2 linked regions of the Rhinolophus ferrumequinum genome follow. The protein of the gene in region 1 interacts with the protein of each later gene in a biochemical or structural test. Links are inferred from orthologs where the notes say so. Each region holds a gene or a part of one and is shown on either strand. Other genes may lie near its edges.

What was found.
Region 2: the proteins of NHERF2 (region 1) and PODXL form a complex in vitro, tested with the Homo sapiens proteins (3 studies listed by BioGRID and IntAct, with this or other methods). The link is inferred for Rhinolophus ferrumequinum from reciprocal best matches to the Homo sapiens genes NHERF2 and PODXL.

The regions. Positions count from the first base shown.
Region 1 is NW_022680357.1:3,770,459-3,777,386, forward strand, and holds the start of NHERF2 (Na(+)/H(+) exchange regulatory cofactor NHE-RF2), read left to right. Parts: upstream 1-3,921; 5' UTR 3,922-4,056; coding exon 4,057-4,269; intron 4,270-6,817; coding exon 6,818-6,928.
Region 2 is NC_046309.1:15,373,239-15,380,376, forward strand, and holds the start of PODXL (podocalyxin), read left to right. Parts: upstream 1-4,132; coding exon 4,133-4,309; intron 4,310-4,413; coding exon 4,414-4,561; intron 4,562-7,138. UniProt on the Homo sapiens protein: Involved in the regulation of both adhesion and cell morphology and cancer progression. Functions as an anti-adhesive molecule that maintains an open filtration pathway between neighboring foot processes in the podocyte by charge repulsion.

The DNA.
Region 1 (6,928 bases):
CCCCTGCTACTCCCCGAGTTTGGCCTTTCAAAACATGGGTGTCCTGGGGGTGGCCAGTTAGCTCAGTTGGCTAGAATGCGGTTCTGTTAACAAGGTTGCTGGTTCGATCCCCACATGGGCCACTGTGAGCTGCACCCCCACAACTAGATTGAAACAACTACTTGATTTGGAGCTGATGGGTCCTGGAAAAACACGCTTAAAATAAATAAAAGTTTAAAACAAACAAACAAACACCTTATCACCCCCAGTGCACACTAAAAAGGGCTTCCCACTGTTGGTGGAACTAAATCTGTGCTCTGGGTCTGGGTCACAGGGCTGGACCTATGCCCCACTCTCATTGCGCCCTCCCCACCCCACATAGCCTGCAGACACTCTGCATTCCAGAACAACTCTATGGTCCACCCTGAAGGACTCCAAGGTTCCAGGCAGGGTTAACTGCCCCTCCTTGGGGCTGCCCCAACCCTGGGCCTCCTCCCCTTGCCAAGGTACACAAATCCCTGTTTCTATGGGTCGAGATGTTTCTCTAGTGCTCACCAGCGCTTGGCGCCAAGTGGTCCACAAATATTTGTCCCCAAGTGCTGGAACACTTGGTGAGGCGCCCGATTTCATGTTGCCTGGAGGTACCCCGGTTCAGAGAGATTGGTGCTAGGTCCAAGATGAGGGAGCATAGCTGATTAGGGGCTATGCAGAGGCTCGGCTTCTCCGCCTACCACCCTCATGGCCCCCCTATGTCTCTGTGGGGCAAGCAGCCCTAGGACGCCAGCCGCATCCCAATCCCCACCTGGCAGGGCAGGACCCAGTTAGAGCCGCAGGGGCGGGGTCTAGGGCAACCCCTCGGACTATGCAATCTCAGCCAGAGCCCGCAAGGGGCGCTGCGCGGCCGCACTTCTGGGTTAGAGCCCCGCTCCGCGCCTCTCGCGATGGGAGGGGTTGGGTGGCTCGTGGGCAGGGCCAGAGGGGAGTGGGCGGGGCAAGTCGCCCCGGGCGTCTTGGGCTAGTTTCCTGCGCGTCTTCCCTTTTTGGTCCTGTCGGTTCTCCCCTTCTCTCTCACTCTCATCTCCGGGTCTCGTTCTCATCTCTTCCCGTCGCCCTCGTCCTGCCTGCTCCAATTTCGGGCTCGGAAGTAAGGCCTGGTGTCTGAGAGAGGAGGCCCTAAACGGGGCCTGGTCATCCCGCGGGGCCATTAATGCCCATTAGGGAGGCGGTGCCAGCCGAAGAAGCTCTGGGCCATTAGCGGGGCGTCAGACTAATGGCTCCACCCCCCAGACAGGCCGGAGCCCTTCCTCTGACTGTGACCAAGCCTCTGCCCACTGCCACACCCCAAGTCCCCTCCCAGGCTCAGGCTCCGCCCTTCGCTGGGGGCCTTGTAGCAGCGAGCTGGGCTCAAAACTCAGAGGAAAGTCCCCTCCTTACCCCAGGAGGACCATCAGGGGCCTAGAGCACTCACAAAGTCTGCATAGCAAGATGGCAGGAGTGGGTGAGGGAGTGGGGGGTGGGTTATCACCCAGACCACCTCTGATCTGACATCCTGCTGGCCTCAAGGCTCACTTCCCCTACCCCTTCCCCAGGGACCCCAAACAGTTCACAGCCCTTGGACACCTTTTAGCCCACACTCTGGGCCTCTGCCTTAGCCTCTTTCTCTGAAGCCCGAGGCTGGAGGGAATGGCAGGGGAGAGTTTACCTGAGAGCTTCCTCATGGCTGTTACTCCAGGTCCTTGAAACTGACTCTGCTCTCTCTTACTCATTCCTGCTCCCCCTTTGTAATTTTTACCAGCAGTTCTTTTACCACCCAGAATAACCTGGGTGGTTATTCTGTTGCTGTTACCCACCTCCTTTGTTACTGTTATCTTCCTGGGTACTTTCCAGGCTTTGGGGCCTCCTTTGTTATTGTGGGATGCAATGTTCTTCCTGGCCCCTGGCTGTGACCACATGCCATTACCCCTCCCTCCAGCTGTGTTCTGTTCCCATCCATCTTCACTCACAGGCTGAGTCCTGGGCTGTGGAAGGCGAAAGGGCCCAAGACTGATTAGTGGTTCTCCTATGGATGGGGGAGATGGTCTCCAAGCCTTCTGACCCAGGGAACTAGGGGCCTCTACCTTCTCTGGTGATTTCCCATCCAGCCAGCTACCTCAACTCTGGTGTGGCCCCAAAGCTACAGTTTGGCAGGTCCTGGGTGGTCCTGGTTGCTATAGGGTAATCCCTTGGGGTGGTATATGGTGGACCTCCCAGCCCACACCCATCCTCCCAGCCTCCTGGGGCAGAAGCACCAGGCTGGGCCAGGGGAGGCCAGTCGCAGGCCAGACAGGCAGCTTCTGGACAGGCAGACAGATGGAGGTGGCCAGCCATATGGGCGTCTATGGCAGCATCAGTCAGGAACTCAGAGGTGGGGGTGGGGGAACAGCCATGCAGCTTTGGCCTAAGTGGCTTTTAGGGGCAGCAGTTGGGGTGTGGATACCCAAGGGGCTGGGGCCCAGGAGGCTGCCCAGAGGCGGGCCTTGTGCTTGGGCGGGGGTTGGGAGCCCAGCCTGAGGGCACTGGAGAGGGGAGAAGTAGCAGCAAGGACTGGGCCGGATCTGAACCTACTTCTGCCCTCATGGGGAACTGTCTGGGCTGGCTGTGCCTGACCCCCAGGCACCAGGTATGTGCAGGGGGCAGGGCAGGGCTGGGGAGGGGCAGATTGAGGGGAAGCCTGGGCCAGTTGTCTTCTGTATCTGAGGCTGCGAGGACTGTGGACTTAGAATCTCAGCCCTGGGCCCTAGAGGAGCCCAGGGTGGGAGCCTCACCTTGGTCTCTTCCCTCTCCAAACCTTGGTCTTTTGATCTGTAAAATGGCCTGAGGCCCCTAGGGTTGTTCCAGGTAAAATGCTCTCAGAGGCAAGACAAAGCATAAATGATTCTTCATTGTGATTATTGTCCAGTTGTGGGAAGAGGGCACTCATCCTGGGAGGGGGTAGAGGTTAAGGGAGGGAGGTAGAGGCTAAGAGGTGGGGAGGAAGAAGGGAGGGGAGGGCTCTGTGTGGAGGATCCAACAGGTTTCTGCTCAAGGAAACACCTCCTGTGAGTGCTGACCACAGGCCCGAGCTCAGAGGCCAAAGTCCTCAGCACATTTCATCCCAGGTCAGGAGTGGGGTAGCAAAGACCCTCTTGTCCCAGCCAGACGAGCATTTCCTTCCCCCACCCTTTCTGTCACCTACCAGGCCTAGGATGAGCAGGGTCATAAGTGGGGGCCCTTGGCATAGGGAGGGAATGATGGACACGCACAGCACAGATCAGCACAAACACGCCTGGGGAGGGCCAGGGAGTCACCCAGTCACTGACCTCCAGTACATAAGTAGGGGCTGCTGCCATGTCACTTGCAAACCTCTCTTTTTGCCTCTGGGTCCACCCTGGGCCAGGGCATCAATGAGTGCAGGAAGGATCCATATATATAGACGGTGGTGGTGGTGGTGGTGGTGGTGGTGGTGGTGGTGGTGGTGGTGGTGGTGGTGGTGGTGGCAATGTAGCTTCCCAAGGAGGATGGGGAGAGCTGTGGCCCTCCTTGTTACCCGCTGTCTCCAGTGTGTGTGCGGGGGTCCTTAGGCTCTATAACACTTTCTCCATCCCTCTCCCACTTTATAAGTGTAGAGCCCTGCATGCAGTAGGTGGTTAATAAATGTTCCTGGAATAGAAGGCAAAAGCGCTGGAGCCAAGGAGGCTGCCGAGAGTGAGGGCGAGACAGAGAGGTTCCGGTGATTCGGGGTACCCTGTCCCTACAGTCTTCCCCCGACTCCCTTTGGGCTTGCAGGGCGCCGGGACAGGGGAAGGCCAGGATGGCTTGGACTCAAGGCGGGGGCGGCGGGGCACTGAGGGGGCGGGGAAGGGGCGGCGCGGGGGCGGTGCCGCAGCCGGAGCTCCGGTCCGAGCCCGAGGCGACGGGAGCCGAGCCGGAGCCACCGAGGACGCCGCCGGGTCCCCAGCGCCTCCGCAGCCTCCTCCGCGCCGCCCAGCGCTCCTGCCTGCCCCGGACGGCCGTCAGCGCCGTGGCCGGTCCGTGGTCGGCGGGTGGGCAGCCGGCGCCATGGCCGCGCCAGAGCCGCTGCGGCCGCGCCTGTGCCACCTGGTGCGCGGCGAGCAGGGCTACGGCTTCCACCTGCACGGCGAGAAGGGCCGCCGCGGGCAGTTCATCCGGCGCGTGGAGCCGGGCTCCCCAGCCGAGGCGGCCGCGCTGCGCGCCGGAGACCGCCTGGTCGAGGTCAACGGCGTCAACGTGGAGGGCGAGACGCACCACCAGGTGGGTGCCTGCGCCCCGCTGGGGCCCGCCGGACGCCCTCCCCGGGAGCGCGACCCTGTCCCGCGCGCGCGGGGTGGCGCCAACGACCACCCCGTCCGGCGCTGCCCGAGCCCAGGCCTCAGCTCCCTGTTGGAGGCCAGGAGGGGGGTCGCACCAGGGCCTGCGTGCCTCTCCCTCCGGGTGGTGGGGGACATGGCCACGGAGGCAGGGGCCGCCAGCCTTTTCCCTAGCCTCCCCCACTCCTCAGGAAGCTCGGTCCTGCACCGCGGAGGGGGAGATCCTGGAAGGGAGGGGCCCGCACTGCGGCTCCTTAGCTTGGCTCAGGCTCTCGCACTTTAGGCTTGTTCTGGCCTCAGTGTGCTAAGTGTGGAGGTGTGGGACACCTTGGCGGGGGGCTCTCCATGCAAGGGAAGACCCTGGGTGCTTTTCTATGTGTGTACACACGCGGGTGTGTACAAAACTGGGTATATGTGTGAGTGTGCAGGTCCCTCTGGGGATCACCCATGTGTGCACACATCTGCCTGTGTGTGCCTGGAGGGTGTCACAGTAGGGGCACACCTGTGTGTTCCTGCATCAGGGAGTGTGTGTGCTGGACTGTGTGCGTGTGAATATACACGTCTGCACCCTGGGTTTGTGTGTGTGGACAGATCTGCACACCTGGACATGTGTATATGAGCTGGGCTGTGTGTGTGTGCATGAGCGCATGCGTGCTGGATGAGTGTGTATGAGCTGAGTTGTATGTGTGAAAATATTTATGTCTGCGCACCTGGATGTGTGGAGTCATCAGTGCGTTTTTGGCAGCCAGTACTCTGGTGTGTGCCCTGGCTGATGGTGCCAGGGTCACTGCTGGGGGCAGCGCATGTCTCTCCTCGGAGGCTGCTGGCCTTGCAGGCACCACCAGCCGCAGCCCCCAGCCTCCTACAGCTGAAGATGAGGGCCAGAGGGAGGGCAGAGTCTCCTCTCTACAGGTTCTGACCCCTAGGGGTGTCCATCTCCCACTGGCTGGAGACTCACCTGAGTTGGGTCTAGCCTTCCTCCACTCCTCTGCTTAGGGTCCTCTGTGTCCCCCCAGTGCCTCTGCATCCATGATATGTTGGTGTGGCCAGCTCTTGGGGCCTAGAGATTAGTGTAGTGGTTTTTGGCTGGGCCAGGAGCTGACCTCCTGCTCTCACCCTGGGCCCTTGTCTATCTCTGTATCTGTCTGCTGTCCTCTGTCTCCCACCCAGAATGTCAACCTGATAAAGCTGTTTGCTGAAGGAGGGTGGGGGTCAGGGCCAGAGGGCTTGGCTTGACAGGTCACAGGGAGGGGCTGGCAGAGCTGGTACCTGTCCTCTGTTTAACACTCATTGCCACCCTTGCCCCTACTTGTCCCAGGCTTCCGGGTGCTGGTCTAAGAACTTCACACACAGGAGCCTGTGGGACCCTCCCACTGCCCCAGGAGGGAGGGTGTGCAGTTATAGCTCCCATCTTAACAGATGAAAAAAACCGATGCTTAGAGATGTTAGGTGACTGGTCTGGGTCCCACAGTCAGGAAGGAGCAGGCTGCTGGGGCCCTGCTGCGACTCTCAGAGTCACAGGGAGAGGAGGGACAAAGCAGGGCTGCGGGAAGATGGGCCTGATTCAGACCCTCCTCTCTGTTGACAAGTTCTGCCAAGCAGCAGATGGGGACTCCATCTACCCTCCCCAAGGCCTTGGGGTGGGTGTGAGTGTGTTACCCTTCCTACCCCAAGGCCCGGTGGGCACTTTCTCCTTTTCCCTGCAGGGCACCGTGGCATGCATGCCCCATGGTCACCCACATGTTTTAGATACGTCATAGGCACCTGCATAGACACACAGATGGCCACATGCCACACTTGTCCCACAGGTGGACCTGCCCCTCCCCACCTCCACCTGCTTGGTGTGAATCCTGTTTATGGGGTGCTGTGTGATGCCTGAGTAGGTGCCTTGCCACAGGAACCCAGGGCTTCCCCTCTCTGCAGGTCCAGCCAGAGTGGGTCCATGGTCCGGATCAAATAGGGGGCTTAGAGTCAGGGGTGTAGATGTCCATGCTCCACCATTGAGAAGGACACAAATGGGCACCGACCCACCCAGGTCGTGACACCCAGGGAGACGCCTCTCTCCCTCCAATCGACTAAGACCCTGAAATAGGTGGATGCATGCCTGCACACATGCAAACATACACATGCACACACGCATACACACTGACACACCGAAACCTGAAGCTCAGCCATGTGCCATCGTTGTCACTTCCACACTGGTTGCCTCACCCAACTTCCCTGCCCCTCCTGGAAAAGATGCTGGGCTGAGGCCCTGGGACCAACCTGCAGCCCTTACAGCCTGAGCCCTAGTGTCTGGAGCCCCGGGAGAGGAGCGACTGAGCGGCTGGAGCCCGGGGGTGGGGGGCGGAGCTGGCGGGCCTCTCAGCCCAGCGACCCCCCCTTGATAGGCCAGCTGCCTGCCCACGAGCCCTGCCAGCTTTGGGTGGTGCCATTGTCCATGTGCTGCCCAGAGAGCTGGCCGCTGACCCACCGCCACCTGCCCGTCCCAGGTGGTGCAGAGGATCAAGGCTGTGGAAGGGCAGACTCAGCTGCTGGTGGTGGATAAGGAGACGGATGAGGAACTGCGGCGGCGGCGGCTGACCTGCACCCAGGAGATGGCC
Region 2 (7,138 bases), on another chromosome or scaffold:
GGGAGATGCCCCTTCTCTGGGAGTTCCTCTGGCCATAACCACCCCGTGCTGTCACCTTGCCCGTCCCCCCTCCCCACGCGGCCGTACCTCACTGGAGAACCTGGGGAGAGCCCCAGTGGGTCTGGGGAAGCCTTGTGTCCACCTTCCCCTGGGACGAGGCCTGCACAGGTGTGACATCCGCAGAGGAAGAGGCATGCTAGAGCGCGGCGCTGTAACGGGAAGCGCGGTGGGGGCATGACTCGGGGCAGCGAGTGAGGAGCCTTTCCTGTCTGCCTTGGGATAGAAGCACGGCTGACATGACGCGAGCACTTTCTGTGTGCACCCACTGTTCTAAGGACTCAGCGGTGTGACGTAGTTACTATCATTACCCTCCTCACGTTTGAGGAACAGTGTTAAGACACTTGCCTGGCACAGCCAGTGTGATGGAACTGGGCCTTGAACCCAGGTGGTCGGGCTCCAGGGGCAGGCTCCTAACCACTGTTTGGTGGAGAGGGAGGGGAAGAGCGAGAAGGGTCAGGCAGCAGGACTGGGCACTGGAGCGGGTACCCTCGGGCTCAGGCCACACTCCCAGGTGCAGGGGACAGGAAAGAATGACGCACTGCTGTTTTGGGGAAGAAGTGGGGTGAGGTCCTCAGGCCTTGGTGCCCTCGTCTGCAGGGAGGAGTGCACCCAAGCGAAGGCTGCCTTCCCCCATTGCTGGGAGACCTCCACGCTGGACAGTGGCAGCCCTCTCTCCTGCCCCGGGAAACAGCCAGACGGGCCCCACCCTACGAGCCGGTGTTGGGCAGGCCAGCTGAAACAAGCTGATAAGGGCAAACAATTCCACATTTGAAGAATGCCCGGAATTATCTCCCCTGAGGGGGCAGCTCTGGGCCCCTGAGAGAGGTGGTGCTGAGGAGCCTGATAACCAACCCCCAAGGGTGCTGTTCGCTGTCCAGAGGCACCAAGACGGCAGGCTCACGGTACAGCAGACAGAGCTGCCAGCAGACAGAGCTGCCCGTCTGCCTGACCACTCGGCCTGACGGGGGGTGACGAGGTCAGGTTGGGACTCTGTCCTTCCCGACACTGGAGCTGTCCTTCCTGCGATTTCTGCTCTCATTACCAACCTCTACCCCGCGCCCCTTATCTTAGCTTGGGCAGCTGCAACAAACTACCACAGCCTGCATGGCCTACACAACAGACTTTATTTCTCACAGTTCTGGAGGCAGGCAATTCCAAGCTCAGGGTGGCAGCAGGTCAGGTTCGGGAGAGAACCCTCTTCCTGGCTTGTAGGCAGCTGCCACCTTCCTGCATGTCCTCACATGACAGACAGGAGGCTCTGGTGGCTCTTCCTTTTCTAAGGACACTAGTCCCATCATGGGGGCTCCACCCTCAGGATCTCAGATAAGCCTCCCAAAGGCCCCAGCTCCTAATACCATCCCATTGGGGGGTAGGGCTTCAACACAGGAATTTGGGGGGGGCACCAAACATTCAGAGTGTAACACCCTTATGCCAGGGAAGTTGACCAGGTGCATCTTTGGGGACCCCAGCCCAAACAAGGGGCCACCTGGAGGCATATAGAGACCAGCCCCAGAGATTGTTATCCCCATTTTGGGGGGACCTGTGGCAGCCTGAAAAATGGTCGCCTCTCAAAATAAAAAGATGTACACATCAAATCCCTGAAACTGGTGATTATCACCTTATTTGGACAAAGCATCTTTGCAGATGTAATTAAGCTGAGGATCTTGAGATGAAATCCTTCTGGATTACCTGGGTGCTTGTTGACAAGTTTGACTTGGCAGTCATACTCTTTTTCTTGTTGACAAGTTTCCTTATAAGTGACACAGAGAGGGGAAGAGGCAGCAATGTGACCATGGTGACACAGATTGGAGTCGTACTGCTGCAAGCCAAGGAATGCCAGCGACTGCAAGAAGCTAGAAGAGGCAAGGAAGGTTCCCCCTTGGCAGCTCCAGAGGGAAGCTGACCTGCTCAAACCTTGATTTCAGACTTCTGGCCTCCAGACCTCCGAGAGAATAAATTTCTGTTTTAAGCCACCCAGTGTGTGGGCATTCGAATGGCAGCCCCAGGAAACTGATACAGGACCCAGGGCACCGAGAGGGTCCCAGCTTTACCCAAGCCCAGTGCAGGCCTGGGAGAGCGCCATACTGGTTGGCAGAGGTGAGGCGAGTCAGCTTCCCTGTTGCCCCTCCCAGGCTCCTGGTCCAGAGCTCTGACCTCTGCCCACAAGCCCCAGGTCAGGCTCCCCGACCCCCACCACTGCAGTTAGGACCTTTGAGGTGGGGGGATGGGAGTAGCTTTCTTAATGCCACAGAGGACAAGTATTTATAAGGGGTGGGTACAGAACGAGTGAGATACCTCGGGCCGAACACCAGAGCAAACAGTCTCCAGGGACAGGACGCACAGTGGGGGCAGAGGGGGGAGCCCAGAAGGGCCTCTTGGTGGAGGCAGCGAGTGCTCAGCTAAGTAAGAGGGAGGCAGTGGGAAAGGATGACCCAGCTCTGCGGAGGCAGGGACATGGGAAGTCCTGGCTGGAAGGAGGGGCACTGACTTAGCTGATAAAACCCCAGAAGCACAGAGGTGGGAACATACCATGGAGGCCGGGGAATCACCTTTTTCAAAATAAAGGAAGGAGAGTGAGAGGGGCTGAATGCAGTGTAAAGAGAGGACATCTGATGTACGGGCACTGGGGGAAAGTACTGGCCAGGCCATCAGGGGGCCCGGAGCCTCTCTCGGGCCCTAGGGCAGCCCCAGGTCCCTTACTGATGCCAGGACTTTGGGGCCATCATCCTTCCAAAGCCCCCATCCTACCAGCCGCACTGTAATTCCCAGCTGCTACGCAGAGGCCCAGCCATAAAGGATTTGGGGTCTGAGAGGGGTGGGCCCTAGAGAGCTAGGGGAGGCTTCAACCAGCCTGAACCTGAGGCAGCATCGCCTTGCCCTTCCAGGTCACGAGCAGGGCCTCCTGGGAGGGAAGAGGTTCACAAAGCAGATGCCATATGCTGGGGAAAGGAGTTTCAGGGTCCAGCAGGTCTCAGAAAGGCCCAGAGCAAGGCCTCTGAAGTGGCTGGTTAGGATGGCTCTTGTCACAGCAAAAGCCGCCTGACCCATGACAGCATCACGTTTGGGAAAGGACCTATGCATCCCCAGGGCCCTGAGACGTCAGCGGGCCCATTTCACAGATGTGTTTCTTTTATAGAGGGCCGAGGACCGACCCGAGGCCTTGGGGATCGGAGGCGGAACCCAGACCACAGGCCCAGGTCTCTGATTCCCCAGTCTGCACGTTCCTCGGTCTCCAGGCATCAGCGTACCCTGCCTGGTTTCTGCCCTTCCCCTGTGCCCCCTTGGAGCTTTCTGGTTTTATTTCCCTGGAGATGAACAGCAGTTGGCAGCGGGGGTGGACTGGGGGGGTGAGTTGGGGTTACCAAGGGACGAAGGGGACGTATATACTGGTGTCCCGGCCAGAGCCGCCCCGCTTACTGCCTTCCTGCCCTCCTGCCACACGCCCTCTTCCTGGGGCATTCTTTTGAGTTTCCTCTCCCACTATTAATAGTCAGGAGTCAACCCAGGTCTGTCAATGGCCAGGAACAGGAGGAAGCAGGCCCTCACTGAAGGTTGAGAGCAGTGTTCTCGGCCCAGGGGAGGACACTGAAGTGAAGCTTCTCCCACTCGCATCCACTCCCCACCTCCCTGCGCTGGAGATAAGCACCGGGAGGACCCAGCACCTCGAGGGGGCTGCCCCGTGCACCGCACTCATGTCCACACAGCCTTCAAGACCGGCTTCCTCTGCTCCCTGCAGTTGTCTTACCGACTGCGCTGGCATGACCCCTCGCTCACTGAAGGCCTTCACGCCTCCCTCTCCATCTCAAGTCGCGACGCCACCCTCAGTGGCCCCCGTACCCACTTGGGTAAACAATTCAACGGCCAGGCCTCCCAGCTGCGTGAGCTTGTCTCGTCTCCTTCATTCAGTCATGCCTGTTTCGCCCCCGGGAGGTGATCACCGCCACAAACCGCACCACCTCTGAAATCGAGGCGTTTCATGCTTTGACCACTGTTTCTCTACCTTCCGGTCTGTCTGCTCACGTTCAACGACACCGTAATGCTTGGACTCAAGACAACGACACCGTAGCGGCCCATGTCAGTGCCTATCAGCCAGTCTGTCGTCGTGCGGCCCGTTTCACCACCACCCACTGTAATCCCTACGGACAAACACCCTCAGGGCCCTCGCACCCCCTCCAGCCGGCAGGCGACTCACCGAGCAGACCCCATTCCCGATGAACCCTGCCCCCGCCCTTCCCGTGCCTCTGCCAAAGCCGGAACGCTGCTGCTAGGGGAGAAAAATCACTCGCCCTCACTGATCGGATTACTTTTAAATTCGTGATTTTACGCCTTCATCTGGCAAATCCTCCCCGGCAGCCCTACTGTGTTCTCCAGCACAGTGACCCCCAGGGCGGCCCCCCTGCCAGCAGCATCACAACAACTGAGGAACTTGTTCGAAACCCACGTTCTTATGCTCCACCCCCGACCTGCGGAATCAGAAACTCGGGGGCTGGGGTCCCCCCAGGTGATTCTGATGCTCCCTCAAGTTTGAGACCCACGTTTCTAGTAGGCTCCGTGTCCCATTTCCGAGATGAGTGTTTCGTACTTCCTCCTGCCGCCTCGTTCTTCCTCCTCTCGTATTTTATCTACATCAGTGTGGCTGAGTCCATCGAGACTTGATGGGGAACACTGAAGCGGGCCAAGGGGAACGCATCGTCTCGCTACCAAAATTACAACGTACTCACCGTCTGTGTCCATGCTCCTTCCGGTTTCAAAGGCGGAAGTGGCCGGTTTCAGAGGCGGAAGTGTCCGACCACGTAATAAAGTCCGGGTCCTCCGTGGGGGTTCTGGGTCAACACACGTGTATTCCTTTCTGTATCTTAAGGACCCGAGGAGACTGCAGAGTGGGAACATAAAAGGAGAGTTTTCCATCAGCCCTAAGGTCTCCTACCTTCAAAAAAGAAAGCAAAACGTTCTTGGCTGGACCAGCTCCCTCCAGTGGCTGCCGTATTTCTCAGCTCCTCTTCATGCCTAACATTTGATAGTTATCTACACACACACACACACACACACACACACACACACACACACGCTCACTTCTCGACCGCTCACTGTCTCTTCAGTCAGCCCCAGTCAGGTTTTCCACCTGTAAGTTGAGGTGGCCATGGACTTCCATTATTGCCAGTCTCATCATTCAGTACAATCAACCACTCCCCCCTTGGCAACACACACACACACACACACACACACACACACACACACACCAAAACAGACGTCCCTGTTGCATCTCCCTAATCCTAAATTTAGTATTAAGTTATCCCAAACTTAGTATTAAATTCTGTAAAATTGTAGTAATATTTTCTGTTTCTATCTCTAAAATCATATTTAGTTTTGCCAATTTTTGACTCATAAAGTCATATAAGTAGTCTTGTTTTTATTGTTCAGTATTATTTTTTAGATTAATTCATGTTAATACATGTATTAGATAATAAAATACATATAATGCATTTGCTGATTTCCAGGGCTGTGTAGTATTCCAATATGTGAATATACAATAACTTATTTATCCATACTACTTTTGATAAACATTTGCTTGTTAACTGTATGGGGCCGCTACAAAAACCCTGTTAAGAACAATCTCAAGAATACTTCCTGATGCATACATATATGCATCTCCCTAGGGTAAATGCCTGGTGATACAACTGAAAGTTGTAGATTGAAAGCTATCACTTGGTAATGCCATACTATTTTCCAATGTGTTTATACCAATTTACACTACTCCATATTCTTGCTGACACTGGTTATTGTCTGACGTAAAAAATTTTGCCATTCTAGTGGATATGAAATAATTCTTATTTGATTTTGCATTTCCCTAATTACTAACATATTTTAGAATGTCCAGAGGCTATTTGGGCTACTTCTTCTGTGAAATACCTGTTTAATTCTTTTGGCTATTTTTGCCTAAGAGGTTGTTGTTTTCTTATATAGAAGTTTTTTTGTTTTTTTTTTAAATGTTTTCTAGATACAAATCTTTTATGACTACATATGTCGCAACTATCTTTTCCTAATTCTTTTTTATTTCCCCTTTTTAAAAAGTTTTTAAATAATTGTAGATTTATAGAAGAGTTGCAAAGATGGTACAGAGAGTTCATATACCTTTCAGCTTCCCCTAATGTTAACATCTTACACAATCATGGTACATTTATCACAACTAAGAAGTTAACACTGGTACATTACTAATAACTAAACTACAGACATTTATATTTATATTTTACCGGTATTTCCACTAATGGTCTCTTTTGTTCCAGAACATGACATTGCATTTAATCATCACGTCTGACTCGTCTCTTACAATCTGTGGAAGTTTCTTATTCTTTCCTTATTGTTCATAATCTTGATGGTTTTTAAGAGTACTAGCCGGATATTTTGTGGAATGTCTTCCAATTGGGGTGTGTCTGATGGTTTTTCATGGTTAGACTGGGGTGATGTATTTTTAGAAAGAAGATGACAGAAGTGCCCTTCTCATCACAGCTTATCAGGGGATATGATGACTTGTGGATGGTCATGACTTATCACTGGTGATGTTAACCTTGATCATTTGGGAAAGATGATGTGTCTGTCAGATTTCTCCACTATAATGTTACTATTTTTCCCTTTCCATCCTCTGTTAGAAGAGAGTTACTAAGACCAACCCACATTTATATAGGGGTGGGGCAGAATATATTCCTCTTAGAGATGGGAAGAGTAGCTGCAATTTTTTGGAATTCTTTTGTAAGGATAATTTGGTCCTTCTTCCCCATTGATTTATTTATTCAATCATTTATCAGCACGGACTCATAGATATTTATTATATTCTTTCGGTTCCAATACAGTATTTTTTATTTTGTTGCTTAAATTGTTCCAAGTTTGGCCTTTGGGAGCTCTTTGTCTTTTGGATTTGCCCACTTTTTTTTCTTCTTTTAGCACTTCCTATGTTTGGCATTACAGGGTGTTCCAGGCTCATCTTGTATTTTCCCTATGTCAGCACTAGAGTCAAGTCATTTCTGCAAGGAGCCTTGGTTCATTTTATTGGAGAATGGCTGGGTATACTTGATGTTACTGG